Linked DNA regions of Macaca fascicularis. The protein of the gene in region 3 purifies or fractionates together with the protein of the main gene of each other region. This does not show direct contact. Links are inferred from orthologs where the notes say so. Each region holds a gene or a part of one and is shown on either strand. Other genes may lie near its edges. The genes, in order: SRPK2, USP36 and GNL2.

Region 1 (10,730 bases), on a different chromosome or scaffold from region 3:
CATTTATATAACATTCTCGAAGTGGCAACTTTAAGTGATAGAGAACAGATCAGTATTTGCCAGGCTTAGATTTGAAGAGAGAGAATGTGACTGTTCTTTGTCGTAATGAAATAGTTTGGCATCCTGACTGTGGTGATTATTCTAATCTACACAAATGATACAATTTGTTAGAAGTACACACACAAAGAGTGCATGTAAAACTGGTAAAATTCAAGTAAAATCATTCTTGAATTAATAACATTGTGTCAATGTCAATTTATTGGTTTCAACAATGTTCTATGGTTAAGATATCAACGTGGGGGAAGTTGAATAAAGAGTACACAAAGAACTCTGTACCACTTTTGCAAGGTCTTTTGAGTCTGAAATTACTTCAAAATTAAATGTTTTAATAAAAATTTTACAAGAAGAAAACAGAATTTTTTTTTTTTTTGAGACGGAGTCTTGCTCTGTCACCCAGGCTATAGTGCAGTGGCACGATCTCAGCTCACTGCAACCTCCATCTCCCAGGTTCAAGCGATTCTTCTGCCTCAGCCTCCCGAGTAGCTGGAACTGCAGAAGCACGCCACCACTCCCAGCTAATTTTTGTATTTTTAGTAGAGACAGGGTTTCACCATATTGGCCAGGCTAGTCTCGAACTCCTGACCTCATGATCTGCTCACCTTGGCCTCCCAAAGTGCTGGGATTACAGGCGTGAGCCACCACGCCCGGCCAGAAATAGAAAAATTCTAAGGAACAATAGATGAATGGATAAAATGTGGCATATCAACACTACTATTGAGCAATATAAAGGATCTAAGTACCAATACGTGCCGTAACATGGATGAACCTTGAAAACATTGTTCTAAGGAAACCAGACACAAAGCCACATACTGTATATTCCATCTACATGAAATGTTCAGAATCAGCAGATTCACAGAGACTTAGAACGTAAATTAGTTGTTGCCAACTCAGGGGGAAGGGGAATGGAGAATAACTGGGAAATAAATATGGAGTTTCTTTCTGGGGAAGTGAAAATGTTATAGAATTAGATAACGGCTGCGCAATTTAATCAGTAGACTAAAAATCTGTAAATGGCCTACTTTAAAAGGTAAATTTTATGGTATGTGAACTATATCACAATAAAAGAGTTATAAAAAAATGGGAGAGATCTTTTAAAAATTGTACCTACATATAAACATACCCTAAGGCAAAAATTTATCCCAAGCTATGTGATGTAGCTAATTCCTAAGATTTGTGATTAAACAGCACTACAGTCTTTCTGTGCTGCGTGTTACTCACAAAGCAGCACAATTAATAATTAGCAAACCAAACTCACAGGACAATCTAACAGGATTATAATTTTGACCCACTAAAAAATCTTAATCTTATTCCTGACAACAACAATTTCCAGTGTACCATAAAAGTAGCCTCTAGGAACTGGCTCAATTCATAAAAGCTCACAGATTTGAACTGAACTAAAATTAAATTAAAAGCCAGCTTGCATATACAAAGGTAGATAATGACAAAAGTAAATCATATTACATCACGCCAGACCCACAGTCACATAATTCAAGTTTGCCAATCATCATATTAATAGTTTAAAATTTACCTATTACTCCTTTTCCTCCTCTGGAAAATTAATCAAAAAGCAAAAACAGTGCTTCAGGAAACCTGAATTCTGATCCAAACGAAGCTACTGTTGTGGGCTTAACGTGTCAGAGCTATCCGTAAAATGCAAGGTACCCTGAAAATACTAGTCTCCGGGAGATTCTTTTACCACTTCTCAGGTGCCACTCCTTGCACACTCAACCACATCACCTGGTTTCCCACGCACTACTGCAGGCCAGGTCTGTTTCCACTACTACCCCCTTCCCCACAATCTATTCTCCATATAGCAGCCTTTTGTTTTGTTTTGTTTTTGGAGATGGAGTCTCCCCCTCTGTTGCCCAAGCTGGAGTGCAGTGGTGCAATCTCGGCTCACTCCAAGCTCTGCCTTCCAGGTTCACGGCATTCTCTCACCTCAGCCTCCCGAGTAGCTGGGACTACAGGCACCTGCCACCACGCCGGGCTATTTTTGTTTTTGTATTTTTAGTAGAAATGGGGTGTTAGCCAGGATGGCCTCGATCTTCTGACCTCGTGATCTGCCTGCCTCGGCTTCCCAAAGTTATGGGATTACAGGCATGAGCCACAGCGCCCGGACAGCAGCCCTCTTTTTAAACAGTGAATCAGAACCTGTCCCTTCCACATGTAAGCCTCCAATGGCCTACGGGACCAGATACGCTCTGACTCCGGCCTCCCATCAACCTTTCCGGGCCACTCCTGCCACCCTGACTTTTGGGTTCCTCGAATACTTCCAGCCCACTCCTCCCCAGGGCCTCTGCCACACTGGATCTCCTCCTCATTCTTGATCCTGCTCAAATGTCACTTCTCAGAGAGTGGAGTGTGGACTCTGGTCCTGGGCTGCCTTGATTCAACAGATGGGCATGTTATTTACTCTTGCTGTGTCCCTGTTTCCTCATCTGTAAAATGTCAGTAATAATGGTGCCTACCTCTTAGGGTTGTCACAAGGTACATGTAAAGCAATCGACAGAGTGACTGGCACAGTGTTCAAATGTCATCTATCATTATTACTTAAGATGCCCCCTCTTTTCTTCCCATCCCTTAGCCCTACCTGAAATTATCTTCTGTCACCCTCTTTGTGGTTTTCCCTAAACTTCCCAGGGTTAGCTTTGCAAGGAGCTTCGTCTTGTTCAAAACTCTATCACCTGCCTGGCGCAGTGGCTCACGCCTGTAATCCCACCACTTTGGGAGGCCAAGGCAGGTGGATCACGCGGTCAGGAGATCGAGACCATCCTGGCTAACACGGTAAAACCCCATCTCTACTAAAAATACAAACATTAGCCAGACGTGGTGGCAGGCGCCTGTAGTCCCAGCTACTCGGGAGGCTGAGGCAGGAGAATGGGCTTGAACCCAGAAGGCGGATGTTGCAGTGAGCCGAGATGCTGCCACTACACTCCAGCCTGGGCGACAGAGCGAGACTCGGTCTCAAAAAAAAAAAAAAACACAAAAAAAACCTCTATCACCATCTCCAAAGAAAGACATGTAAATACCTATTTAATAGATGAATAAATATATAACATCAAACATTTCTTTTAAATAATGTCTTGATTCAGGCCAGGAGCAGTGGCTCACGCCTGTAATCCCAGCTCTGTGGGAGGGGATCACCTGAGGTCAAGAGTTGCAGACCAGCCTGGCCAACATGGTGAAACCCCGTCTCTACAAAAAATACAAAAAAAATTAGCTAGGCTGGGTGGCGGGTGCCTGTAATCCCAGCTACTCGGGAGGCTAAGGCAGGAGAATCCCTTGAACCCGGGAGGCGGAGGTTGCAGTGAGCCAAGATCCGGCCATTGCACTCCAGCCTGAGCGACAACAGCGAAACTCTGTCTCAAAAAAAAATTAAATAAAATAATGTATTGATTCAAAGAGTTAAGTGAAAAATGGCATTGCCTCAATCAGTTACATAATTGGGCTGGTCCCATTACCTTCAGACTAGAGTCAGTTCGTTTCATTATTAGCTGGTGTGTTATTTTCCCCCTCAAATTCTATCACACATACACAACACACCGTGGGAGAAACTCGCAGATTAATCTGTGAGAGTATAAACTGAGTACTGTGGCTATTCACTAAGTCTTCATAAACATACCACATAAATCCAAACTGCGGCCCACCAAAAAGGCCCTCGACCATTAGGAAAATCACACCCTAACATATGCAAATACAAGACACATACTGACTTAATTAGAACTGTTTTTCTACCTGTACATATAGGTAACATGCACACATACGTGTCTGTTTGTATACACATGCACACATAGCCATCTCCGACACTGGGGTCACACTTTTTCCACTTCTTTTTATGTTTCTGAATATAACAGACTATGTGGAATTAAATCAATGCTTTGAATTCAGAGCTGTGATTAAAACCCAGTACTTATTCAGAATCCTAAACATTACAGTTCCCCGTACCACTGGGTAAACTTCCATGGTTCACCAAAGGAAATCTCAAATTTAAGGTTGTAATTCACTTGAAAGCTAGCACTAATTTTTTTAAACGCATCTAAAGCTACCAAAAATCCAGTCCATTTTAACATCTTATGAATTCAATATCAAATTTTTACCCACCAATTAGTTCTTCAAGTCTTTAAGAAGTGTTTCCCTTTACTCTAATTTTTTTTTTTTTTAGAAAGTTATTTTTAAGTCACTATCCACATTTTGTGAAACTCTGAAGGACCAAGGCCAACGAGAAGGGGAAAAAAGGAAACAACCAAAAATGTTTCTGGATTTTATTAAAGATGATGCTGGACTCTCGTTCCCCATAGTACCAAAGATGTCACACGGAGTATTATTGCTCAAAAGAGCGAAGCAATTAATCTAGAGGAAGAGATAACGATGTTGAACGCTGGTAAATCAAAAGAATAAGGAGAGAGGAGTGGAAAAGGAGAAGACGCGGCGGCGCTGTGCGGTCTCGGAGCAGCTCTCCAGGAAAGGGTTCTCGGGCAGCGGCCCCCCGGCTCGGGTGAGCGGCCAGACTGGAGGTGGCCAGCGCGGGCGCGTTTTCCACTCCGCCCGGCTCCGGCGCACACGCCCACCGCCCCGCGCAGCCCGCGACCCCGGCGCCCGCAGCGCACCCAAGTCACGCTCGACCCGAGCGGAAAGTTTCGAATCCAAACCAGAGAGCCGAAACGCACAGGTCTCGGGGCTGAACTCGCGCCAGGAACACGCCCGAGGCGAACCACTTGACAACCAGCTCCGGTTCTCAGCAGAAAGGCCGACAGGCGGGGGCCGGGGAGGAAGGGGAGGCGAGACACACGCCCTCGCGCACACTCAGCCCCTCCGACTCCTCCGCCCCGGCTCAGGTGGGAGCAGCGCAGCCGCCGCACTCCCGCACCGGGCGGGCCGGAGCCCCTCCCAGAAAGGGCCGCGACCCCCGGGTCAGCTCGCGCGCAGGGGACCGGTGCGCACGCCCCGCCCGGCGCCTCCCCGCCGGCCTCCCGCCCGCCCGCCGGCCAGTGGCGACCCGGGGCGGGAGGGCGCCGAGTCGAGGCTCCGTGATGCTCGGGAACCGGCCGCGGCCCGCGCGCCCCTCCCCCGCCGCCGCCCCTCCCCCCGGGCCGCCCGCGGGGCGCAGGAGCCGAGCGCCGGCGTCCCGGGAGACCAGCCCGCCCCCCGGCCGGAGGACCTGGACAACTTTCCCCTGCGCGGCCGCGGGCGCCCCCGACGGGGCAGGGGTGGGGAACCGGGACAGGCGCAGCGTGGACTCACTTTTTCGGATGTTTCTCTCTTTTCGGCCTCCGCTTTCGGGCCTGAATGGCCAGCACTGGGGGAAGAGAAGACACACATTAACGGTCGGGCCGCCCGCCAGGGCCGGCCGCGTGGCGGGGAGAGGGCGCGCCGCAGGCCACTCACCTTTCCGGGAGCTCATTCCGACGCGGCGGAAGCGGGGCGGGGGGCTTCGCGGCGGCTGCGGCGGCGGCGGCGACGCGGGCGCCGAGACGAGCCGGGCTGCAGCCTCCACTCGCTCCGCCGGCCGGGAGGAGGCGGGAACCGCGCCTGCGCCGCCACCGCCGCCGCTCCAGCAGGGACCCAGCAAGACCCGCCCCTGGCCGGCCCCGCCCCCGCCCCGCCCCCACCCGCCGGCCCCGGGGGTCGGGACCCCGGAGTCGCGCGCCCCGCGCCCCCGCCCCACCCACCTGTGCAGAGGTGGTCGCCGCCCAAGGCCGCGCTGGCCCTCGGCCTCCCCCACCCCAGCCCGCGGCCCGGGCCTCCGCCTCCTGCGCTCCTGCGGCTGGCCCAGGCCGCCCGCCTCTCCTGGGCACCGGACCCGCGGGACCCTCCCTCCCCGCCGCGGCCTCTCCCCTCCGCACCCCGGCCGGTCGCGCAGCCCGGCGCTCCATGCGCCCTTCCTTGGCCGGCGCCTCCGCGGGTCTCGCACCACCTCTCTTCCCGCGGCCTCTTCTCTCCCTTTGCTCCTCTACATCCTTGCATCCCCATGAGCGCCGCTTCCTCCTCTCCGGCGGGCGTGGAAAGGGCACACGACCAAAAGCTGGGAAACCTGGGTCCGCGATTAGCGGTGTGACCTTGGAGAAGTCATTTTCTCTCCCACCTCTACGTGCCCTCCAGGATTGCATGAGTTTAATGAAGGAAAAGATACAGATAGCATTCAAAGTACGACAATGGTTTTGCACATGAATTGAAACCCGGTTCCCTAAACACCATGTGTATAACAATTCAAAACAACAATCACACCAAGTAGTTATTTTCTGCATCCTGCAATGAGCAAACTGAGTCCCAACGAGGTTAAACAGTTTAACCAGCCAGGATCGAAATTCAGGCATGGCTGGCTGTCGACAAACTCCACCTTATCAGGCTGCCTATAAAAGATGTGAACCAAGTTGATAGTGGCACAAAAAGATAACTATAATGTTCCCTTATTTATGTAAATAATTACAATAGTTTTTGAAAGATAAGCATCCTGACCATTAACTCCCTCCTTGGTCACACAACTGTATCTTCAACTGACAAGGTGGCTTACTCTAAGGATGGTAAAACAGACAGTGCAGGAAAAGCTGCTTGGATTTTGAAGAGCCTTTAACTTTTTGTATTCAAAAATATCAAACCTTTATAGAAAAGTTACAAGAAAAATATAATTCACAGCCAAATTAACCCATATTCACCAATTTTTAACATTCTGCCACATTTGCTATGTGTCTGTGTGTATGGTTTATTTTGCTGAATCATTTGAGTTTTTGTAGACACTGTTACCCTTTATCCGTAAATATTTCGGTAAATATCTACTAGGAACAAAGATAATCTCCCATGTAATCAGAATTCCATGATCACTCCAAGAAACTTTCATGCTAATACAATGTAATCATCTGTAACATACAGGCCATATATATTCAATTTTGCAAAATATCTAAGTAATATCCCTTTTCTTTTTTTCCCAATTAGTCTACCATTAAGGATCATCTGTGGCGTTTAATTGTCATGTCTTTTTAAACACCTTTAGAATCATTCTTGGTTTTGGTTTTCTTTTTATTTATTGATTTATTTATTTAGAAATGGAGTCTCACTCCATCATCCAGGCTGGAGTGCAGTGGCGCAATCTCAGCTCACTGCAACCTCAGCCTCCCAGGTCTAAGCAATTCTCCTGCCTCAGCCTCCCGAGTAGCTGGGATTACAGGCATACAGCACCACATCTAGTTAATTTTTGTATTTTCTTTTTTTAGTAGAGACAGGGTTTCACCCTATTGGCCAGGCTGGTCTCAAACTCCTGACCTCAGGTCATTCACCCACCTCAGCCTCCCAAAGTGCTAGGATTATAGGCCTGAGCCTTGACACCCAGCCCTTTTTTTGTGTTGTTTTGTTTTCTTGTTTATAACATTGACTTTTTTGAGGAATCCGATTCCACAATTTTGCAGAATGTTCCTTGTTTTGGATTTGTCTGTTTCCCTGTGATTAGATTCAAATTAAATAATTTTGTTGGGTATACTATAGGTGATGTTGTATTCATCTTAGTGCTTCAAAATATGATGTCAGTTTGTTCCATTACTGGTGATGTTACAGATAATTATTTCTCCAACATACAGGTAACTTTTCCCTCTGTATTTAAGAAGTCTGTGTAAAAAATGAGCAAAGGATTTGAATGGACATTTCTCCAAACACATACAAATGGGCCAGGCGTGGTGGCTCAAGCCTGTAATCCCAGCACTTTGGGAGGCCGAGATGGGCAGATCACGAGGTCAGGAGATCTAGACCATCCTGGCTAACACAGTGAAACCCTGCGTCTACTAAAAAATACAAAAAACTAGCCGGGCGAGGTGGCGGGCGCCTGTAGTCCCAGCTACTCGGGAGGCTGAGGCAGGAGAATGGCGTAAACCCGGGAGGCGGAGCTTGCAGGGAGCCAAGATCCGGCCACTGCACTCCAGCCTGGGCGACAGAGCGAGACTCCGTCTCAAAAAAAAAAAAAAAAAAAAGACATACAAATGACCAAACTAGCATGTGAAAAGAGAATCAACATCATTAGTTGTTAGGAAAATACAAAGCAAAACCATAATGAGTTACTACATCATACCTACTAGGATGACTATAAAATTAATTAATTAATTTATTTATTTATTTATTTATTTATTTTGAGACAGAGTTTTGCTCTTGTTGCCCAGGCTAGAGTGCAATGGCACGATCTTGGCTCACCACAACCTCTGCCTCCCAGGTTCAAGCGATTCTCCTGCCTCAGCCTTCCCAGTAGCTGGGATTACAGGCATGTGCTACTGTGCCTGGCTAATTTTGTGTTTCTAGTAGAGATGGGGTTTCTCCATGTTGGTCAGGCTGGCATCGAACTCCCGACTTCAGGTGATCCACCTTCCTCAGCCTTCCAAAGTGCTGGGATTACAGGTGTGAGCCACTGGGCCTAGCTAAAAAATTTTTTAGTGGAAAATAAGGCCAGCTGTGATGTCTCACAAGTGTAATCTCAGCATTTTGGGAGGCTGAGGCTGGAGGATCATCTGAGTCCAGGAGTTGGCGGCTGCAGTGAACTATGATCACACCACTGCACTCCAGCCTGGGCAATAGAGTGAGACCCCATCTCAAAAAATAATGTTAATGGAAAAAAAAATGTTAGTGGGGATTTTGGAACCCTCATATGTTGGAAACATTGAAACCCTCCTGCATTTCTGGTGGGAATGTAAAATGGTGCAGTTATTATGGAAACAGTCTGTTGGCTTCTCAGAAAACTAATTATAGAATTAACAGCAATTCCACTCCTAGGTATATATGCACAAAGACTGAAAACAGATACTCAAACAAATCTTTGTACATGAGTGTTCATAGCAGCACTATCACAACAGCCAAAAGGTGGAAACAACCTAAATGGTCATCCATAAATGAATGGATAAACAAATTTTGGTATATACATGCACTGAAATATTTTTTGGCCTTAAAATTATTTAGTACTGACACATGCTACAATGTGGATGAACATCAAAAACATTATGCTAAATAAAAGCAGCCAGACACAAAATGTCACATATTGTATGATTCCATTTATATGAGATACCCAGAATAGGCAAATCTACAGAAAGCAGATTGGTGGTTGCCAGGAGTTGGGGGGTGGGAGAAGGAGGGAGCAACTGCTTAATGGGTACCAAGTTTTATTTTGGTGTGATGAAAATGTTTTGGTGCTAGATAGAGGTGGTGGTGGCACAACATTGCTAATGTACTAAAAGCCACTGAATTGTTCTCTCTAAAGTGGTTTCTTTCATCTAAGGTGAATTTCACTTCAAAACAAAACAACAAAGTTACTTGTGTGGGGTGATACTTTGAAACTGTGTGAATATCTCTTTCCTGACAATATCTCAATGGGTTGGCATCCATTGATGATTCTTGCCTAAATCAACTATTACCACACTGGTTGTAGAACAGTGATTTTATAATCCTATCATTCAATCTATGTTAAGTGACACATTCTTTTTTTTTTTTTTTTTGAGATGGGGGTCTTGCTCTGTTGCCCAGGCTGGCGTGCAGTGGTGTGATCTCAGCTCACTGTAACCTCCACCTCCCAGGTTCGAGTGATTTTCCCACCTCAGCCTCCCAAGTAGCTGGGACTACAGGCGCACGCCATTTGTATTTTTAGTAGACACGGGTTTTCACCGTGTTGGCCAGGCTAGTCTCAAACTCTTGGCCTCAAGTGATCCACCCGCCTCTGCCTCCCTAAGTGCTGGGATTACAGGTGTGAACCACTACACCCACCCTTAAGTGACATTCTTTTTTCTTTTTTTTTTTGAAACAGGGTCTTGGTCCATCACCCAGGCTGGAGTGCAGTGGTGTCATCTCCGCTCACTGCAACCTCTCCCTCCCAGGTTCAAACAATTCTCCTGCCTCAGCCTCTCAAGTAGCTGGGACTACAGGCACACACCAGCACACCTGGCCAATTTTTTTTTTTTTTTTTTTTTGGCAGCGGGGGGAAAGGAAGTCTCGCTCTGTCGCCCAGGCTGGAGTGCAGTGGCACGATCTTGGCTCAATGCAACCTCTGCCTTCCAGGTTCAAGTGATTCTCCTGCCTCAGCATCCCAAGTAACTGGGATTACAGGCACCCACCACCACTCCCGGCTAATTTTTTGTGTGTTTTTAGTAGAGACTGGGTTTCATCATGTTGGCCAGGCTGGTCTCAAACTCCTGACCTCAAGTGATGTGCCCGCCTCAGCCTCCCAAAGTGCTGGGATTGCAGGCTTGAGCCACCACGTCCGGCCTAATTTTTGTATTTTTAGTGGAGATGGGGTTTCACCATGTTGGCCAGGCTGGTCTCAAACTCCTGACCTCAGGTAATCCGCCCACCTTGGCCTCCCAAAGTGCTGGGATTACAGGCATGCAACACCGCGTAAGGAGGAGCTTTTATTTCTCCCTCTGGCTTTTTTTTTTTTTTTTTTTTTTTGGCCCCTCCTGCTTCTCTGCATTTTTTCTTTCTTTCTTTGTTTCTTTCTCTTTGTTTCTGGCTTGTTTTTTGTTTTTGGTATCAATATTGACAAAAATTACTGTCACTATTTTTTCTGTTGTTTTTAGAGGACAGGGTCTCACTCTATGGACATGAGCCACCATACTTGGCCTTTTTATTATTTTTTAAAAGGCTTTATTGAGATATAACTAACATATATACAATTCAGCCATTTTAAAATATAGAATTCAATGGTTTTTAGT
Region 2 (10,630 bases), on a different chromosome or scaffold from region 3:
GGTGGAGTCGGCTCTTCCTTTCTGAGGACAGGTAAGGCCAACAGTGGAAGGGGCCCCACCGAGGAAGCAGGGGAGGGTGGGCTCAGACACAACGGTGGCGCCAGCCCTGAGGAGCAAGGGATGGCTCGCCAAGAGCCACCAGCCATGCACCAGGAGATCACCTGGGGGACGTGTGGCCACCGTCCCCCACTCTCTCGATAGCCCCAACTGGGGGGGAGCAGCCTCTGCCAGCACAGACCACCGTCTATGAACACAAGAAGGCACAGCCCAGCGAAGATGTCCAGCAGGCGTGCAGCCACCTCTGCTCACACACACACTGTCGTTTCTCTCGCAGGGCTGGTCAGGAATGTCACCAAAGAGGTTCCGATATAGAGAAGCCTCAAAGCCTCTCCGTCGGGTGGTCTGTGGACACTGGTACCGGGAGGGCTCCTACCGTTGCAGGCTCACAGCGCAGCAGAGCCCACACAGAGAGCTCCCTCAGGTCCAGACGGACAGCTCCCAGGAAGGGATGCCTTGTCTCCAGGAGGCTGCGGAACAAAGCACAGCAGTCCTGACAGAGAGAAACGGGACCACAATCTTCCCACTGCCATCCTTGGGTATGAGTCCAACCCAGGAACCCAATGCATGGCATCTCGATGCGGCTGGCAAACCCCACACACTTCTGCAAGTGACTAGGACACGTGCCAGATATATACACTGCCCACATCCTACACACACCCCACATATGCCCTTCTCCAAGTGACCAGGACACACACCACAGATGCCAGGTGTACACACCCCACACCCAATACACACTACACGCACCCCCTTATACACACGCATCCCACACACACCCTTCTCCATTCAAGTGACTAGGACACACACCACAGACGCGTCCACACCAGACACACACCACCCAACACACATGTGCCAGATACATAGCCTACATGCATCACACATATGCATGCCACACCCCACCACACCCCCTGTACACAAACACAGCACACACACCCCCACCTCACCCGCACACCCACGCCCTCGGAACCAACCTCCTTCCACAGAGGCACAGTCAACGGCGATAGCTGAGGCTGGCAGCCTTCGCTGGGTGAGTCACAGACCAGAAGTTCCGTCGAGTCTGAAGTTTCTGAAAGGCGTTGAAGTTTCTCCTCTTCTCTCTCTTAAATTTTTTAATTTTCTTTTCCTAGACCAAGAATCACAGGCATCACAGTTCCCAAAAAGGGCTCTTTCCTGGCCCACGGGGCTCCCTACTGCATGCAGGTCACCAGCTTCCTGCACACAGGCCAGGCTCTCGCGAGCTCTCTGGAGACCCACTCTTCACAGTGACCCCTGCGCACAGCACCCTGCTGTCCCCCTACTGATGAAGGGGCGGAAGCTGCAAGGATGCATTCCCTGTCCATGGCCACATGCCCAGACAGGCCTGGGCAGCCTGACTCTTCTCGCGCTCGGCCACTTCATGCCACTGCCGCCACCTCCAACTGCCCCGGCCCTAAGCTGAGCCACACCGCCCTGCTACCTCAAGCCTGTGGTCAGCATCACACATCATACCTTCCCTCGGTCAAACTCTTCATCCCAGTCATCAACCACGGTCTCAGTCTGGGCCAGTCTGCTGTCTTCAATAGAATCCTGACTGACCGCCGACATCTTGCCATCCCAGGTCAGAACTACCAGGCAGACACAGGGCTCAGCACGAGTGCAGGTTCCCAGGTACCCTGAGGCTTCACTTCAAGAGTGTCATTTACCAACTAGTCTACCCATAATTAGTCAACAATTTTGAGTGCCACCTTGTGGTGAACAGAAGGACAAGAGGAGGACGGCTCGACGTCCGTGTGTGGTCGGTCAGCACAGAACCCCCAACACCACCCTCTTAGCTAAACGCTAAACCACGGCCACAGACTTCAGTTCTCTCTAAAACCACGCCCTCGTCTGAGAAACAAAGATGTCCTATTCGGCCTCGAAGTCTGAATAAAAACATGCTCTGAGTAAGAAGTGACATTACCTAGGTTGGAAGAGCTTGGTCACTCTGCCCCTTCCCTACCCAAGACCCAGCATGTGCTGGGTTCCTCACCCTGCCCCAACCCTCAGAAGCAGCTGTTCTGGATCCTGCCATGGACAGAAGCCACCTTCGTGCCACGGCCGAGGGTTTAAAGAGGATTCCAGCCAGTGTTGAGATTCCTCTTCCCATTCTCAAAGCCGAGCGATGCCTGCCCTCCACACTCACAGTACACCAGGATCCATTCCACACCCTTCCCTCCTCCAAAACCAACCAATCAAAGGCAAACAGAAGTCCTGTCTCCAAACCAGTACCTTTTCTCCCATAAGCTTTATCAGATGAGTATTTGAGCAGTTCCTGGACCACATCAGACTCTCGCTCTCCATTCCAAGACACAGGAGGGGCCTGGCCCAGCCCTGCAAGGAGGAGCCAAGAAACATTTACAAACGTTTAAAATAACCCACTGGGGAAGCAACCACACACCTTAAATTATAGCAGAACTTACAGTAAGTAGATGCCATTTTTTTTTTTTTTTAAAGACAGGGTCTCACTATGTTGCCCAGGCTGGTCTCAAACTCCTGGGGACTCCTACTGGCCTCCCAAAGTGCTCCCAAACTGTAATCCCAAAATGCTGGGATTACAGGCATGAGCCATGGCGCCCAGCCTAAATGTTTATTTACTAATGCTTACATGCTTAATTTACTAATGATCTCACACAGTAGAGAAGGTTGTCCAAGTCAATTCATGAAAAAGAAAACATGGAAAATAACAAAAAGCTAAAAAGCAAAAAAAAACCCTTAAAACCCCTTTAACCAGCAGGGTAAGTCCTCAGTCTGACAGAGGGAGGGACGAAAACTAGATCTAAATGGAACCCACTTCACCTAAGGGAGAGGCCCGTGGCCCAGAACCAGCCTGACACCTGGACGACCACAGGGGTGGGGGGAATGGCCAAGCTTGGCTGCTGCCATCAGGGACCCCGACCTCTTAAGCCCTGTCCAGGGGTAACCTGGTCCCTGTCAGCAACACTGCACAGGTCCACCCAGCATGTCGGGACCAGGAGAGCACTCACCACCCTCATCGGGTTCTAGAAACCCTTTCTGAACTAGTCCTCTGGCCAGCTACCCACATAGCCCCTGGAATATACTCACCTCCCTTCACACAAATCTAACCTCATTTCTCCCTGCCTCCAATTCCTCAGTGAGCTCCAGGCTAAGTGTCCCCTGCCCCTGCACAGTGGCTTCCATAGTTCCCATCTCATCCACAGCCCAGGGACGTGGCCATGCAGAGTAGCCTGCCTGCTCCCAACATGCTGCGCCTCCTGCCCTTGGGCCTGGTACCCTGCTCATTTAGCCATTCTCCTCAGGTGCACAGGACTGAGAGTGTATGGGGCCAGGTGTTCCCCCTCAGAGCCCATGCAGCCCCCAGTGCGCAGTGCAGGGCGCACTGCTCAGGACACACAACTAGCACCTGGCATGGACCCTGGCGCACTACAAGTGCTCAAGTGATGTCCCTTGAATTCCTGCATTAACAAGCCAACTCCGCTTTGCTCCAAGGATGGCACGGAGCACGGCTCTGGCACCATGTTAGTGCAGTACTTCTGAGAGCATGCTGGCCAGCAAACACGGTTGGCACTTGCTAGCACCCGCATTTTGCAATTTATTTCATACTATTTCATTTTTATCGATAAATTCCTTTCTTAAGAGTTGGATAAATACAAATCAGTCTCTAAGGTCTTGCTGGCCCCTGGATGCACTGCCATCAGACCTTCCAGACTGCAGCGGAGGCCTCACTCAAACTCAGCCCGCTATACCAAGCAGCCAAGACTTTCTTCCCTTCACTTAACAAATGTGTTCTGTGGCAGGTGCCTGCCAAGGCATGCCCCAGCCAGCCCTAAAGAAAACAAAAGACCCTCCAATTGGACAGCCCCAAGGACAGCCACAGCACACAGGTCCCCAACAGCAAGCGCACCATGCTATGTTCTGAAAGGCCCAGCTACATAGAGGGAGAGGAGGATTGAACCCAACTCTTCTAAGTTCAACCATCACAGAAAAAAACTCAGGCTGGGAGTTTTTTCAATGAGAAGCTGTAGACAGGAAAAAACTCAGGGAGTCATTCAATGAGAAGCTGTAGACAGGAAGAGCTTTCAATCAGAAGATCCACTGGCGTTCACAGAATGTTTTAAACCTCATGTGCGCTGTAACCTCTCCCATGGGGTTTTTCAGTCAAATGCTTTTGACACAGGAGGAAGCTTCAACCCCATCACCCAAGGGAACAGACTCGTGGGCGGGGAGTGAAGGTTGGCAGGGTCCCGGGGACCTCCACATCTTCTCCCAGACCCTCCCAAGCTCAGATGCAGGAGGCACTGCTCTCAGCTTGTGCACTCCCTAATACCCCCCTCGCCCAATGCATACCCATGTGGTCCTGCACCCCCTCCCCTGGTGCATACCCATGCGGTCCCCAACCCCTCGCCCAGTGCATACCCATGTGGTCTCCAGGACACCAGCCATTCACAGATGGCGTGTGGCTGCTGGACTCGGGGACAGCAGCATCTCGGGGCTTGGCGTTCCTCAGGACTTCGAGATGCCCATCCTCTTCTACCACCCACTGTGGCTCCTGCTTTCTTTTTTTCTTTTTCTTTTTCCTTGGAGACTCTTCCATGGTCTCTGGATCACCATCACCCATGGGAGAGCAGCTGCTGGGAAGTGAGAGGCAGCAGTCAGCTCTGAGCAAGCTGGAAGGGGAGCAGGAGCTCACAGACTCCCGCCTGCAACATGGAGAAGGTGCCACCCCAGCTGTGACCCAGTGCACGGAGCTCCCTGCAACATTCTTCCCCCAACACGCATTAGCGGACGCTCCACATGCAGCCATGGAGACAATGGAGGGAAAACCAGTCATGTTTCTCATCCTAACTGAGCCAAGCCCGTCGAGGCTAATGTGCAGGCTACTGTGACCTGATGAAACTGCAGAGTCTGGCCTGGCCTGGGTCACCTGATCCAGCATCCTTGGACGGCTTTGCACATACAATGATGGACACTGCTGTCCATACCACTGTCACTTCAAGGACCAATCCACTGGTATTTATCAGAGGAGTCTTTTGTGTTTTTTTTTTTTTTTTTTTTTCTTAAAGACAGGGTCTAGCTGTCACCCAGGCTGTAGGGCAGTGACGCAATCTCAGCTCACTGAAACCTCCGCCTCCTGGGCTCAAACCATCCTCCCATCTTAGCCTCCTGAGTAGCTGGGACCACAGGCATGTGCCACCATGCCCAACCAATTTTTGTTTTTGGTAGAGAAAGGGCTTTGCCGTGTTGCCCAGGCTGGTCTCAAACTCTTGGGTTCAAGTGATCCGCCTGCCTCAGCCTCCCAAAGTGCTAGGATTACAGGTGTCAGCCACCACAACGGGCCAGAGGAGACATTTGCTCACATATTCACATTTTAGAAAACCACAAAAGCAGACTACATTTCCAGATCATACCTACGTGGGGTTAGAGGTAGATTCTGTGGTTTTGCTTTGTTTCTTGGCAGAGGTACACAGATGCCACCTTGCTCCTGCCCTTACCTGTGCCAAGGTGGGTCCTGGTGCAGGCCACCTTCTTCACCAAGACCCTCTGCTCCCTTCCTCCTCCGCTTCCTGCTGCTCGCGTGGTGGCCGTCCGTAACACATCCCACCGGCTGCCCGTTCACCCGTGGCTGTGTGCCGTCTTCCTGCCGTCTGACAGCGGGCAGCTGGGCCTGGCCCTCCCTCTTGTGCGTGGGGCTCCCAGGCTGTGTCTGTGTCTGCCCCTCCTGCAGGGCGGTGGCAGCTGTGTCCTCTGGGTGCTTTTTCTTCTTCCTCTTCCTCTTCCCGTGGGGAGCTGCAGTGGCCTCCCTGATGTGCTGTGGGAGGCACGTCTCTGAGCCTAGCCTCTGGAGCTCTCCCAGGAAGGTCTTTTTCTTCTTCTCAGAGGGGCTCCGGGGGGGCTCGCTGGCCTCTGGCAGCTGGTGTGGAAGGGACACAAGGTCCTCGTTGACCTGAGGCAGGGCCGTCGAGAAGGAGGAGCAGCTCTGTGGTTCTGACATCCCTGGGGGCTTGGGGGTACTGGACAGCAATGTGGGGTGGGGGCTGAAGGGGGGCTGCAGGCGGCTGGATGATTGGGGAGCAGGTGACACAGCCCTGTGGGGACAGCCAGGAAACAGGGAGAGGATGTTCTGAAAGACCCAGCAGAGCTGTTTCTTCTGTTCACCCTCACTCCCCTCCCTTTCACCTAAAAATCTGAAAAGGCTTTTGCCCTGCAGTTTTCAGATACACATTAAGTTACACGTAAGTTTGAAAGAAAGCTAACAATTAATTCGACATCTATTTAAATGCAAAGTTGGCCGGGCGCAGTGGCTCATGCCTGTAATTCCAGCACTTTGGGAAGCCGAGGTGGCCGCATCACCTGAGGTCAGGAGTTTGAGACCAGCCTGGCCAACAAGGTAAAATCCCATCTCTACTAAAAATACAAAAATTAGCCAGGCATGGTGGCACACGCCTGTAATCTCAGCTACTTGGGAGGCTGAGGCAGGAGAATCGCCTGAACCTGGGAGGCAGAGGTTGCAGTGAGCCGAGATCGCGCAATTGCACTCCAGCCTGGGCGACAGAGCAAGATTTCGTCTCAAAAAAAAAAAAAAAAAAAAGCAAAGTTACCTACATGGTAGGTTAATAGGTGCAGCAAACCACCATGGCACCTCTGCAACAAACCTTTACATCCTGCACACGTACCCCGGAACTTAAAATAATTGATCCCTAAGATTTAAAAAAAAAAAAAAAAAAAAAAAGGCAAGCCAACACATGATTTTAAAAGTCATTTTTTTTCTTTTAATAAGGCAAAGTTAATAAGAATAGTTCCATGCCTTAGTTTCTTGTCACCAAGCAGTTCAGATATTTTTGCGAGCGCTAATATTTTAAATCTTTAATAGAAATGTGTTAAGGGAGGAAGCCTTCACTAAACAATAAATGGTAAGGAAGAAAAAAAGATCCCGTGAAGATTTATTCTCCAACCTCTGAAAGTCTCAGGGTGTTCCCAAGCAGGAAATGAGCCTCATAAGGCAGGCAAGTGTTGAGTTGGCCCTAATGACACCTCCACATTAGCATCATTAGGACGCTGAAACCGGGACACAGATGTGTAGAGCAGAATCATAAGCAAGGCATGTCCGGGACAGGATCTAGCGCCAAACCCAGTGAGGCTCTCTGAGCTCCCTCTTGCCAGCTATGTGTCCCTAGGAAAATTAACTTCCCACTCTGAACCACCATGTTCTCCTTTGTCAATGAGCTACGACCACAAAGCCCACCTCCCAAGGTTCCTGAGGAAAACGGGACCCCCATCATCATCTAAACAAACTACAAGGGCCATGACAGCTGCACGACGTTTGATTACCCTGTCTTCTGGAATCTTTTCAAAAAAAGCTTATAAGGCAAGGAACAAAAAACACCCAAACACTCAAGGCCCTCCCACGCACACAAATCTTATGCTAGGTATAGGGTAGAAGTGTCTTTGTGCGTGTGTATGTGAGAGGAGAGTAAGGCAGAGGCTGTGGGTGACGTACAGTCATACCTCACCCTCATGCAGCACTGGAGATTCTAGAACTAGAACCCAGCGCCAAGGTCCCCAGTACAGTCCCCACAGGCCGCCTCATGGCTCACCCCATCTTTCACTGCTTCCTTCCCCACTCCCACCGGCTTCCAGACAGCCATTGACCAGTGACTCTCAACTTCCTGCCACTCGAGGCACCCAACAGACGCAGGCAGCCCCTGCGGACCAAGGCCCATATGCAGAGGAAAGGGACTGCATCTCCAGCAGGTGTGTGCAGAGGAACCCGAGAGCCCTGAGACAGTTCTTAACCCACATGATGCTAGCAAGCAAGACACCCCAGAAAAAATGCACAGGACTCCGAGCTCACTCAAGGCCTCTCGCCAAGGCCTTACCTCACCTTTCTCTTCGACTGGGAAGTACTGTCATGGGGCTGGTAGGGATACAGGACAGGTCAGTCTCCAGCACACCATGTCATCACATGGATGTCGCAGACAGACCACCAACAAAGACAGAACTAAGACATCGGGACTGCAGAGGCTGAACTGCCTTCACCACCCAAAGCTCCTTTACCACAGGGGAACACAGAAGAGGGGGACCTTGGTCGGTGACGTCCCCCCGTACCTCCTGGCTGCCCAATGCTTTGTCAGTCCTGTGAGGCTGGTGATCCGTCCAACTCCTCACCAGCCAAGCACACGCAACCACAGGGAGAACCAGTCGGCACCCCGAAGGTCCCGGCCCGAAGCTTACCTGGCTCTACGGACGGGCCAAGTGGAGGCAACGACGGGGTGAGAGGTTTTCATGGGGTGGGTGAGGTCGGAGGATGGTGAGGGGGGAGGTGGACGGAGGTCATTGCCGGTCGCCCTCCACAGGGTGCTGGCCTGCAGTTATCGACATAAATAAAAACTTGGTGGTCTAAAAAAGGTTTCCGTGAGTGAAGAGGGAAAACAAAAGTAACAAAAAATGAAAATAAAAACAAAAGAGCCCAGAAAGAAAGATGAGGGGACAGAAGAAGACAAAAAGGGGAGGTGAGGGGCAGGGGAATGGTAGAAGAAGAACCAGAAAAGTATTTTTGGTTAGAAACAAAAAAAAGGAAGAAATTTTAAACAAAAATCTCAGCACAACAATCACATCCTCGTGCCGTGGCTGCCTTCTAAGCTTCCTGCTGCAGCCGTGCTGGGCACCCCACTCGGCTCTGCGCTTCCTGCCCGTCCCACCCCTGCTAGGGAAGTGCGCTGGTGGGGCTCACCCTCCCTCGGGTTCAGTCAGGATCTTCCGCCTACTGCGAAAACGGAACTGCTACCTTGCCCAAACCTCCATGAGTCACATGAGTATCACCAGATCATCAGGGCTCTCTCAACACCCCACATTGCCTTCACCCCAGGATAGCCGTTCTTTAATTGCAAATAGTTGGGAATGACTAAAAGACACTTTGTTCCTCTGACATGAGGGAGGCCAAAGTCCCTGGACAATGTTCTCACTCCCTCCAAACCCCAACCAAGCAACTCTTGGAGCTCTCCTGATACACAGCAGTGGCGAGACCCCCACACACCCACCTTCTTGGCAGAAAGGGCCAGTTTTTTGGCTGGTGGAGGAGACATGGTGCTTGCAGGCTCAGCGGTGGCATTGCTCAGGACAGGGGACTTCAGCTTCACCGTCTTAGAATCTGCTCCACTTGGCGGCGTTTTGGAGTGGCCAGCGGTGGAACAGTTTGTTTCCTGAGAATCGCAGAGATGGGCCGCTCCACTCCTGGCGGTCTGGCGGGCCTTGGTGGAGTCGCTGCTGGCCGAGTGCTCTGGGCTGGAGCTGCTGGAGCCCCTCCTGTCGAGGCCAGTGCTCTCGTCATTCCTCTTCAACCCATGCCCGTTGGCAGTGGCTGTAGCCAGGAGCTTAGGTGAGGTAGAGAGGACAGCATCCCTGCTGTCCCAGGAGCCCTGCCTTTGGCTCCCAGATCTGCTGCTACTCGAGCTGCTGGTCCCAGGCAGCCCCTGAGCAGTTCTGGGGGAGAAGTGCTGTGGAGGAGCTGGCTTCTTCACCTTCTTTCCAGGGTCATCCAGGATAGTCGGGATGTGTGTGGGTGTCTGGGGGAGTTTGGGGGACGGGGATCCTGAGGGCAGCTTTGGAGGAACATAGCCGTTCTGGGATTTCAGGCCCAGGGTGGAGCCATTCCTGGAAATGGGCACGCCAACCTCTTCAGTGCTGTGCAGCTTCTTCATTGTCCCCGAATCCTGTCGCTAAGGAGAGCAAAGCAGAAAACACAACTGAGGAAGCGACAAGTCCCAGTCGGGCCACGCCTTCATAAGGCCACAACGCATCTTAGTAGTGGGCATGGCCTCTGATTAGCATGCTCAAGACAAATTATTTATGTGGACTCTTGGTAAAGACATTGTGGCTTCTTTGAACAATTCTGATGTTTTGTGACATCCCAAGGAACTGGGACCACAGGCGTGCACCACCACACACCGCTAATTTTTGTATTTTTGGCAGAGACAGGGTTTCACCATGTTGGCCAGGATGGTCTCAAACTCCTAACTTCAAACAATCCACCTTCCTCAGCCTCCAGAAGTACTAGGATTACAGGTGTGAGCCACAGCACCTGGCCTGAATACATATCTTTATGGCCATCTTTACTACAAAACCAGTACATTTTCATCAAGATTTGAGAAAGAGAAAAAAGTATAAAGGAAAAAAATTTAGCAAAGTCCCGTCACCTAAACATATCATGCATTAACATTCTAGTGCTTTCTTCTTTAAGTCTTTTCTTTCGAATGGTTCTGCCCTGAAGAGTTGTGTCCCAGTTTTATCTTAATGCTATTACCTCAAGCATCTTTATGGGCGATAACTCTCAATAAATGTCTTTAAGACAGGGTCTTGCTCTGTTGCCCAGGCTGGAGTGCAGTGGTGCAATGATGTCATCATAGTTCACTGCAGACTCAACCTTCTGGGCTCAAGAGATCTTCCCACTTCAGAGGCACAAGCAGCTAGGACTATAGGAGTAGGTCACCATACCTGAATACTTTTTATTATTTTGTAGAGATGCAGGGGGGGGGTCTTGCTATGTTGCCCCGGCTGGCCTTGAACTCCTGAGCTCAAG
Region 3 (10,630 bases):
ATTCTCCTGCCTCAGCCTCCCGAGTAGCTGGGACTACAGGGGTATGCCATCACGCCTGACTAATTTTTATATTTTTAGTAGAGACAGGGTTTCACCATATTGGCCAGGCTGGTCTCAAACTCTTGACCTTGTGATCTGCCTGCCTCAGCCTCCCAAAGTGCTGGGATTACAGGTATGAGCCACCACGCCTGGCCACATCTTCTTTTTTTTGTAGAGGCAGGGTTTTGCTGTCACCCAGGCTAGAGTGCAGTGTTGCCATCATAGCTCACTGTAGCCTTGATCTCCTGGGCTCCAGCGATCCTCCTGCCTCAGTGTCCTGAGTAGCTAGGACTACAGATCTGCGCAACCATGTCCAGTTAAGAAATTGGTAACTTTCTGCTATGCCGTGGCAAGACAGATTCTTACACCAACTCACAGCTACACAACTCCAGGAGAAACAGATCAGGGCTCAATACCTTTCCAAACTGCCGCAGAAGCTGAATGAATGCTCCCTTGCCAAATGGGTTAGTAAGGCTTGCATGGAAAGCAAGTGTCGGATAATCCTGGGAGAGGACAGCAACCCACCGTTTCTAGAGGCAGAGACGAAAACATGTTGGTAAACTGCAGTTCATTTATTTACATTATGTGGAAGAATCAGAGCTTGAATTACAGAACTGTTTCAAATATAATGTTGTCTAAGGAAAATGTTAGCCACAATTCTTTGAAATGGTTTTTCCAAGTATAATGGTTAATGCTTTGTCTTGTCTTATAAATACAAAACAGTATTCCAAAAGATGTCTTCATTGTTACTAAATGCAATTAATGGAGCATAATGTGAAGCAGGCAGTAGCCTCAGCAGCTGTCTCCTGGTGCCTCCGCCCACCATCAATGAGCACACTTTTGTATTTCCAACGAGAGCACTCCCATTACTACAATCTCAGCAGTGCAACACTTTAGCCTAAAAACCCACAACTGACTTATTGACAGATGTCTTAATAGTCTATTCTGGTTGAGTAGTTGTACTTACTGTTGCCCAAGTTGGAACAAGGTCACATTTGTTAAGTACAAAAATGAGGTGTTTCCAAGGTTTTTCCTTCTTCAGGTAAGTTTCAATGTGAGGGGAACGAGTGCCCATTGGATCTCTAGCATCAAGAACTTGAACTACAACATCTGATGAATCTATCACCTGAAAATTCAGAGAGGCAAAAATGGTTTGCTACAGTACAAATAAAAGAGGGATGACATTTAAGGGAGTCTGGGGAAAATAAAATAATAACATTTAGAGACAACTTCAAAACGGTCTCTGGGCAGAGTTGGTTGTAGTTAATCTCAAGGCCCAGCGATCAGAATTCAAAAGGTTTTTCATCCTGTGGTTTTTGAAACCTGTTGAATTTAAAACAGGAAAACTAGCTTAGATGAAACTCAACTTATTTCCTAACTACTATGGATTACTGAACTACTATGGATTACTTCTTAGACTTCTTTAAGTTTGTAATATAATCTTTAAGTTTGTAATATTATAGGTTTTGTGTATTTCACAAAAAACTGAAAAGTTTAGCTTGCCTTCACGGTACTCGTTTTCTATTATGTTACTATTTAATTACATGATTATGCTTGAAAATTTTTCTTCTGAAGGTTGTTATTATTAGTGCATGGACATAAACCTCTGCCAGTTAAAGAGCACTGGATCAGAAATCAAGATACACAAAGCCTCCTTCACTAACAAGCTAGTTGAGCTAGGTACAGCATTAAACCTTTCTAGACAAGAGTCCTCATCTATAAAAGGAGTGGGGTGGACTAAATAACTTAAAATGTTGCATGTGACTTTAAGTAGGCATGATAAATCTAAACAGGAATATCACTTTGGTGGAAATCTTAAAAAATACTGACAGGTAATAACTATATGAGTGTATAATAAAAGATAGCTGTTACTCTTATACAAGTACTTTAAACAATGCAGTTCTCTAGATCAATGCTAGTATGTCTTTCAAGTTTCTTTGTAGAAGGAAGAGGATGGAACAGGCAGTGGTACCTGTACTCTGGGCAACAGAGGTTCAATACATCAAAATCAGTTTTCTTCTACAAAATCACGAAAGCCAAAGGAACCACTCAATGGGAGGGAATTTAGGAGTCGTACCTTGTAGAGCTCACCCCATATTCTTTTGGACTGTCCCTTTTTATAGATCTCTTCTTGAGCTTCATTTCTAAATAAGAAAGCACCCCAAATGAGCAACTGAAGCACCATTAAGACTAAAAGAATGCTTTAGGGTAAAGTCAATGTACCAAAAGAAACAGTATCAAACCCAGTTGGAGATGGACCAGAAACAAACTGAATTTTAAAAGTGTGCCCAAATGTCTGTCAACAAATAAATGAATAAACACAATGTGGCACATATATACAACAAAATAGCATTCAACTTTAAAAAGGAGGAAATTCTAGCTGATTCAGTGGTGCACACCTGTAATTCCAGTACCTTGGGAGGCCAAGCAGGGCAGACTGCTTGAGCCCAGGAGTTCGAGACCAGCCTGGGCAACATGGCAAAACCCCATCTCCACAAAAAATACACAAATTAGCTGGGCATAGTGTTGCATGCTTGTAGTCCCAGCTACTGGGGAGACTGGGGTGGGAGAACTCCTTGAGCCCAGGAGGTTGAGGCTGCAGTGAGCCGTGAGCAGGCTACTGCTCCAGCCTGGGTGACACAGCAAGACCCTGTCTCAAAAAATTAATTAATTAATTAAAAAAAAAAAGAAGAAGAAAATTCTGACACATGCAATGACATGAATGAATCTTGAAGACATTATACTAAGTGAAATAAGCCAGACACAAAAGGACAAATACTGTATGATTCCACTTATATTAGGCACCTAAACCAGTGAAATTCACAACAGACAGAAAGTAGAATGTTGTTACCAGGGGCTGGGGGCAGAGGGGAAATGGAGGCCGGGCGTGGTGGCTCACGCCTGTAATCCCAGCACTTTGGGAGGCCGAGGTGGGCGGATCACAAGGTCAGGAGATCGAGACCATGGTGAAACCCCGTCTCTACTAAAAATAGAAAAAATTAGCCGGGCGCAGGGGCGGGCGCCTGTAGTCCCAGCTACTCGGGAGGCTGAGGCAGGAGAATGGCGTGAATCCGGGAGGCGGAGCTTGCAGTGAGCCGAGATTGCGCCACTGCACTCCAGCCTGGGTGACAGAGCGAGACTCCGTCTCAAAAAAAAAAAAAAAAAAAAGGTTAGAAGAGTACTTTTTTTTTTTTTTTTTGAGACGGAGTCTTGCTCTGTCGCACAAGCTGGAATGCAGTGGTGCGATCTTGGCTCACTGCAACCTCCGCCTCCCGGGTTCAAGCAATTCTCCAGCGTCAGCCTCCCGAGTAGCTGGTACTACAGGTGTTCGCCCCGGGTACAGCTAATTTTTGCATTTTTAGTAGGGACTAGGTTTCACCATGTTGGTCAGGCTGATCTCGAACTCCTGACCTCAGGTGATCCGCCCGCCTCAGCCTCCAAAGTGCTAGCATTGCAGGTGTGAGCCACTGCGCCCGGCCACATTTTTTGTTACATATATTTTACCACAATAAAACATTAAACTAAAAAAAAAAAAGCATGACTGAATTAAGCAGTACATCACAGAGAATTATAAAATGGCAGGCCGAGTGTGGTGGCTGACGCCTGTAATCCCAGCACTTTGGGAAGCCGAGGCGGTCAGATCACGAGGTCAGGAGATCGAGACCATCCAGGCTAACATGGTGAAACCTGTCTCTGCTAAAAATACAAAAATTAGCGGGCACGGTGGTGGGTACCTGTAGTCCCAGCTATTTGGGAGGCCGAGGCAGGAGAATGGTGTGAACCTGGGAGGCAGACCTTGCAGTGAGCCGAGATCGCACCACTGCACTCCAGCCTGGGCACAGAGCGAGACTCTGTCTCAAAAAAAAAAAAAAAAAAGAAAAAGAAGAATTAAAAGAATTTTAAAATGGAATTGGCAGGAGCTGAATCACAACCTATACTCCATAGCTCCCATATAAAGCAGTATTTTTCTGATAAGGTTTAGAATCTGTTCATTTACTAGTCTCAAGGACATTTATCCAAGGTAAACAAAAATAGTTTTATCTTTACTCCATTACCTACTATACCTTTTGCGGGAGGAAAAATTCAAATCAGCAGAATACAAAGCCAACGAAAGTTCAAATAATTCTAAGAATAAATAGATGAACTCACTGCCTCTTTTTGCTTGGCCTCAAATGGCTTGACATTATATCTCTAGTTGGCCCAATGCTTGAAGATGGGCTGACAATAGCAATGAGGTAATAACACTGATGCAGTCAAAGGACAATGCCTCTTCACTAAGACAGCAAAACCTTCACTTCATTTAAGAGACATGAGATAGATGGAGAATGAGAGCTTTCTAGCACTACCCAAGGGAAATGAAATTAAACCTTTCTCAAGAGCAATGTGGCAGCTGCCTATCAAAAAACATGCATACCTTTTGATACCACGATTTGCTCCGTAAGAATTTATCTTTGGGGAATAATTAAGGATGAAAGAGATGTGGTCACATTGATGCTTCACCCTTGTGTTGTTCACCATAAGGAAAAACTATACACAGTATAAATGTCCAACAACGATACTGGCCATAACAAACAAAATACCACTCTGACAATAAATATTATATTATTGTTGATTATGTACTGACATAGAAACGTATTCCTAATAATCACAGCTTACTGCAGCCTCAAACTCCTGGGCTCCAGTGATCCTCCCACCTCAGCCTTCTGGGTAGCTGGGACTACAGGTACATCACTATGCCCAGCCAAGTTTTTATTTTTTGTAGAGACAAGGTCTCGCTATGTTGCCTAGGCTGGTCTCAAACTCCTGTGCTCAAGTGATCTTCCTGCCTTGGCCTCCCAGAAAACTAGTATTACAGGTAAGCCACTGCAGCCAGCTAGTGACTGATTCTTGAGTATGGATCCCTACAAGAATATGATGAAAGTTATAGACACTTCCTCTTCTCCTCCCCAAAACAAACAAACAAAAAGACAAAACTCCACCGCCTTTAGGTATGCTCACAAATTTTCCACATTTTCTTCAAAGAGTCAAAGAAACCTTAAAGGCCATCTATGAACTCAGAGTCTTCCAGTTAAGGAAGCCCCGCATATTCACGGAGGCATTAACAATGCTTAATATCTGCAATGGGGTTATGAGTTATGTTCTTTGTGTTGCATTTTCCAACTTAACTATATTTCCTAATTTGTCTATGACTGGTGTATTACGATTATAAATGAAGAAAATCTTATTTATTTTGGGAATGAAGAGAGACCTTTATCAAGCCGCATTAGACATCTTCAGTCTAGCCCCAATTTCACCAATGTCTCTAGCCTGAGGGAAGAAGACAGCTCCATATATAAATTAAAGCACTGAGCTTCACACAGGCAAAATAACTTGAAAGAAAATGTTTTGTGGCAGAAGAGCAAATGATGAGACTTGCATGAACTTCAAAACTGTACCTCGGCCAGGCGCGGTGGCTCACACCTGTAATCCTAGCACTTTAGGAGGCCGAGGTGGGTGGACTGACTGAGCTCACGAGTTCAAGACCAGCCTGGGCAACACGGTGAAACCTTGTCTCTACTAAAATACAAAAAATTAGCCGGGCATGGAGGCAGGCTGAGGCAGGAGAATTGCTTGAACCTGGGAGGCAGAGGTTGCAGCGGGCCGAGATCGTGCCACTGCATTCCAGCCTGGGCAACAGAGCGAGACTCTATCCACAAAAAAAAAAAAAAGGCCAGGCGCAGTGGCTCATGCTATAATCCCAGCACTTTGGGGGCTGAGGTGGGCGGATCACAAGGTCAGAAGATCGAGACCATCCTGGCTAACACGGTGAAACCCTGTCTCTACTAAAAATACAAAAAATTGGCCAGGCGTGGTGGTGGGCACCTGCAGTCCCAGCTACTCGGGAGGCTGAGGCAGGGGAATGGCATGAACCAGGGAGGTGGAGCTTGCAGTGAGCCGAGATTGTGCCACTGCACCCCAGCCTGGGCAATAGAGCGAGACTCTGTCTCAAAAAGCAAACAAACGAACAAACAAACAAACAAAGAAACTACCTCACACCAGTGTCTTCAGTTACCAAATCACGATCCTTGCCCTGGTCATAGCTCTCAGTGGACATCTCAGCATTTTCGATAAGAGACTGCATATCACTTGCAAATAAGTTTGGTCGCTTCCTCTGTGACTTAGGGCCAAATGTAGTTTCAAAACTTTCAGTTTCAAGAATGTGGACCTTCGATTTCTGAAGAGAAACAAGAATAACAGGTAAAATTAAGAAAAGCACTGAGGAAAAGCGAAAAGCTAAACACCCACCTAGGAAAGACTTTCTGATTTTATTTTTCCAAGGTTCAACCCATACCCAAATCTATAAAAACATGGTTTCAGTCTGGTTTCAAATCAGAAATACTTGTTGAAATGGCACAAACACTGGTACCCTTATTCCGAAGTTCTGTAAGCTTCCTTGGAGAGATACAAAAGTAATACAAATAAAGTAAATATGAATAGTTGTGCAAAAACTTCCCAAAAACTCTGCTTTATTTCATTTATCATAAACTTTAGTCAAATGTAATTAAGGCTACAGCGATGAAAATTAACTAATCTTTTCCACCATTTTTTTTAGCTTTCAAACAAGTGCATAAAATTCGCCAAATTCATAGATTTTATCAAGGACAATCATACTCAAATTTGTGAGGTTTTTTTAAACCAACTGTAAATGCCAACTTTTTCTTGGAAGTTAATTTCTTTCATGGCTAAAAGGAATTGTTTGTTTTGTAAGATGCATTTTAGTTTCAGATAACATTTTCCCTAATTTAGGTAACGTTTTTATTAAATGCACATGGCAAGTCTTCAGATGAAAAACATCTAGCCAAAGTCCAAAATAATAGTTTAGATGTGATAAAAGGAACCTGATACTAACTAGAACTTGATGTGCCTGTATAGGAGTAACAGGCATAAGAATTTCTGAAGCAAGATAAAAGTCAAAGTTTGAGTTAGGATCTATCACATAACAGAATGTTAACAGCCGGCAGACAATATCAAAAAAGAAAAAAGAAGAAAATCACCCTTTTCCCCCTAGCACAAGCTCCTCTGTAAGCACCACTACCAAAAGCTGTGAGGATGATAGAGCAGCCCCCATGGCTTCTGAACTTTAACGGATCCCCTCTTCCAACTTCTAAAGATCCTTAAACTATTTTCATTTTCTCAGATGCTCTAACCCACAACTCAGTTTAGTTTTAGTCACTATGTTCCACTCGGGAGCATCCCCAAACAGAAGCAGCTCATTTTACATGAGAAACAGGTTCTAATGTCACTGGGTAAAATCAAGTGTGACCAAAATTATCTTCAAAATCTCTTAACCTATAAGTTACAGGACACAAGGCTTTGCCTATAAATCTACACATTAATAAGTATAATACAGTAATATACAGTATATAATAAAGTACATATGCAAAGTTACAGTACTCTTACTGTATTGCTACAGAAATACAGTAGTTCTAAAACACATATAGATGAATATGCATATCTGATCTAACTCCACTGTGCAAAATAATCTCAGAATTAGATTTTATAAGTAATAGATATCATACTAAAATAAAATAGGTAAGGTTTTTCAAGACCAAAGCAGAAAACGCATCAATTACTCTGAGTAGCTTTCTGCATCAACAAAGAAGCTGACTGGTGCAACTGTAGACCCTTCATTCTACATACCAGATACTTAAACACTAAATTTTAGAAGCGCTGACAAGAACAGGCAACAAAGCAATAAATCCATGATAGAGCCTCTCTGTTCTTCTCATAAACAAGATTCAATAGTTGCTTAAAAGATGGCTTTAGGGAGAACAGACAAAGAGAACAAGGGAAATGAGCAACTTGTCTGTGGTTCATGAATTACACTCATGTGTTCCCCTGAAAGAAAACAGTCATTCCACTAATAGGTGCCATTCTTCTAGTCCATCATAAAACAAAACATAACTGACAAAACCTGAGGCAATAACCAGGCCTTAGTTTTTATTTTGTTCTGCAAGTAAACACTTTTCTTTGAACTATTTAACCCACGTACGCATGTCAATGTTTTTCTCCCCTCCTCATATCGGAACTGAAGCTTACGTAATGGTTACATTTCTGGGAATTATTATTCAATGCAAGTAAAAATGAGCAGACAAACATCAGACTCTTTCTTTGTTCTGTGTGAAACTCATTCCATTCAACCCAGATTGAATCCTTACCGTACTTCAAACTTCAGCAACTGACAGCCAATGAGACCAGCACCCCTTCCTTCAGCTGAGAAGAAATCTCAAGGATCTTACAAAAGCTGAACGTACCCAACACCAAAGTTCTACCAACTCAATCCTAATTCTACGCTGTCCCAATGTTTGATGGAATTACCACTTAAAACAAGTTTGCCTACCAAAATAAATAATAATAAATAATATTACTAATATCTGTTATCAATTTAGCTCTTATTAGGTGGTGTGCTATGTGCTTACTACGGACCAAGTGCTTTACAGACGTTTCATCTGTAGCCAATAACCCAAGGAGGTGGGTTATCTATACTTTCTTTTTCTTTTTAGACAGTTTCGCTCCTGTTGCCCAGGCTGGAGTGCAATGGCACGATCTTGGTTCACTGCAATCTCCGCCTCCCAGGTTCAAGCAATTCTCCTGCCTCAGCCTCCCGAGTAGCTGAGATTACAGGCATGCACCACCATGCCTGGCTAATTTTGTATTTTTAGTAGAGATGGGGTTTCCTCTTATTGGTCAGGCTGGTCTCAAACTCCTCACCTCAAGTGATCTGCCCGCCTGGGCCTCCCAATTTACAGGTGTGAGCCACTGCGCCCAGCCTATTTATACTTTCAAAGCAAAGAAGTTCAAGTTCATAGAGAAACCCAACTAAGGGTACAGGAATGGATAGAGCAAGGATTAAAATTCAGGTCTCAACTCCAAAACCTGTGCTTTGATCCACTACACTACCATACTTCATACTAAACGTGAAAAGATGAAAACAGAGGTCTTAGGAAGTTCATCATTGCTACACTGAAATTGCTATTTTCTAAGAAAAACAAAAGACAAATATGTTAGAGAGGGAGCTGCAAGGAGTCTGCCCAGGAAATTCCATCGCCAGGGATATCCTACATCTTACATGAGGCCGGATTCGATCATGGAGAAGAGACATTGGTAACTTGCTTTGCTTCATGACAACTTTGTATGGATCCTTCATAACTGTATCCATTTCCTCTTGAAATTTTTGTAATGATGACTGCTTAATCACACGTGTGTTTCCTGTTTTACAAATAAAGAATGTTGCCACTTAATACATATTTGCACATTCATCTTCCACTGACACGGTGAAAGGCAAGATTTTAAATTACCCTCACTCACCCAAGTACCTGATCCATCCATCCCTTGGAGCTATTTCCAAACTTAAAAGAGGAAAAAAACCCAAAAAACTGCCTCTCCTGCACTTGCACACTATGAACTATTCCACCAACCCAGACCCACAAAAGGTTTCAATAGTTTTCCAAGCCGTTTCCTGACTAAATGAAACTGAGAAATAAATAGCGTGGAATGGAACTGAGATCTGACAAATGTCCTACTTCCTGCTAGATCTGGCAGAGAAACTTGGAGCCAATCACAGCTGATCAGTCAGTATAGACAGAGAATCTTGAAACACTGAAACCTGAGTCATAGTTACCACTTTTAGGGTTATGAGGATCCAAAGGGACCTCAATTGGTTAATCAATTGGTTAATGATTCATTAACCAATGAATCCATGCAAGGGAACAAGACAGAGCCCTGCTTGTTCCACCTGGAAAACACCTTGTGAGGGAGATCCTGAAAAGCATTCAATTAAACAGCATGCTGCAGCATGAATGCAAAACAGCAAGGTGGTAATGATGGTAGCAAGGAATGCTTATATTATACTCACTATTTGCTAGGTACTATTCTAAGCACTTTATATGTATTTACTTTTTTTTTTTTTGAGACAGAGTCTTACTCTGTCACCCAGGCTGGAGTGCAGCGGCACAATCTCAGCTCACTGCAACCTCTGCCTCCCAGGCTCAAGGGATTCTCCTGCCTCAGCCTCCCAAGTAGCTGGGATTACAGGTGCCCACCACAATGCCTGGCTAATTTTTGTATATTCAGTAGAGATGGGGGTTTCACCGTGTTGGCCAGGCTGGTCTCGAACTCCTGACCTCAAGTGAATCACCAGCCTTGGCCTCCCAAAATGCTGGGATTACAGGCATGAGCCACTGTGCCTTGCTTGTATTTACTCATTTGATTACCACGACAGTCCTGTGAGATAGGTTTCATCTTATTCTCTGTTAGGGATGAGAAAACTGATGAACAGACAGACTTAATAACTTGCACATAAATGACAGAACTAGAATTCAAACCCAGGCAGTCTAATCTGGAGTCACAGTACCCGGCAGCCATGCTAAATGCTTCTCTGCAGAGTTTTCTTTGACACCTTTCTGTGTTGCAGCTCCTAGGAAGTATCCTACCAAAAGTATAAGAGACTCAAAGGTAGCTGCCATCTGCCCCCAAGGACAGAGGTCAAACACCAAGCAAACACTGGGGTCTGATCATCTAAAGTGCCCATACATTACCAGTGGCTAAGGGC

The links.
Region 1: the proteins of GNL2 (region 3) and SRPK2 purify together in Homo sapiens (affinity purification with mass spectrometry; 3 studies listed by BioGRID and IntAct, with this or other methods). This does not show direct contact. The link is inferred for Macaca fascicularis from reciprocal best matches to the Homo sapiens genes GNL2 and SRPK2.
Region 2: the proteins of GNL2 (region 3) and USP36 purify together in Homo sapiens (affinity purification with mass spectrometry; 3 studies listed by BioGRID and IntAct, with this or other methods). This does not show direct contact. The link is inferred for Macaca fascicularis from reciprocal best matches to the Homo sapiens genes GNL2 and USP36.

What each region holds. Positions count from the first base shown.
Region 1 is NC_088377.1:146,911,551-146,922,280, forward strand, and holds the start of SRPK2 (SRSF protein kinase 2), read right to left. Parts: upstream 6,052-10,730; 5' UTR 6,031-6,051; coding exon 5,904-6,030; intron 5,579-5,903; exon of another isoform or gene 5,462-5,578; coding exon of another isoform or gene 5,446-5,461; intron 5,357-5,445; coding exon 5,302-5,356; intron 1-5,301. UniProt on the Homo sapiens protein: Serine/arginine-rich protein-specific kinase which specifically phosphorylates its substrates at serine residues located in regions rich in arginine/serine dipeptides, known as RS domains and is involved in the phosphorylation of SR splicing factors and the regulation of splicing.
Region 2 is NC_088390.1:85,203,349-85,213,978, forward strand, and holds part of USP36 (ubiquitin carboxyl-terminal hydrolase 36), read right to left. Parts: intron 9,771-10,630; coding exon 9,093-9,770; intron 8,452-9,092; exon of another isoform or gene 8,418-8,451; coding exon 8,287-8,417; intron 6,141-8,286; coding exon 5,547-6,140; intron 4,686-5,546; coding exon 4,471-4,685; intron 2,407-4,470; coding exon 2,305-2,406; intron 1,662-2,304; coding exon 1,546-1,661; intron 1,181-1,545; coding exon 1,049-1,180; 3' UTR 1,029-1,048; intron 551-1,028; exon of another isoform or gene 528-550; 3' UTR 1-527. UniProt on the Homo sapiens protein: Deubiquitinase essential for the regulation of nucleolar structure and function. Required for cell and organism viability.
Region 3 is NC_088375.1:197,334,424-197,345,053, reverse strand, and holds part of GNL2 (nucleolar GTP-binding protein 2), read right to left. Parts: intron 9,289-10,630; coding exon 9,149-9,288; intron 6,254-9,148; coding exon 6,069-6,253; intron 2,184-6,068; coding exon 2,117-2,183; intron 1,166-2,116; coding exon 1,007-1,165; intron 570-1,006; coding exon 456-569; intron 1-455. UniProt on the Homo sapiens protein: GTPase that associates with pre-60S ribosomal subunits in the nucleolus and is required for their nuclear export and maturation.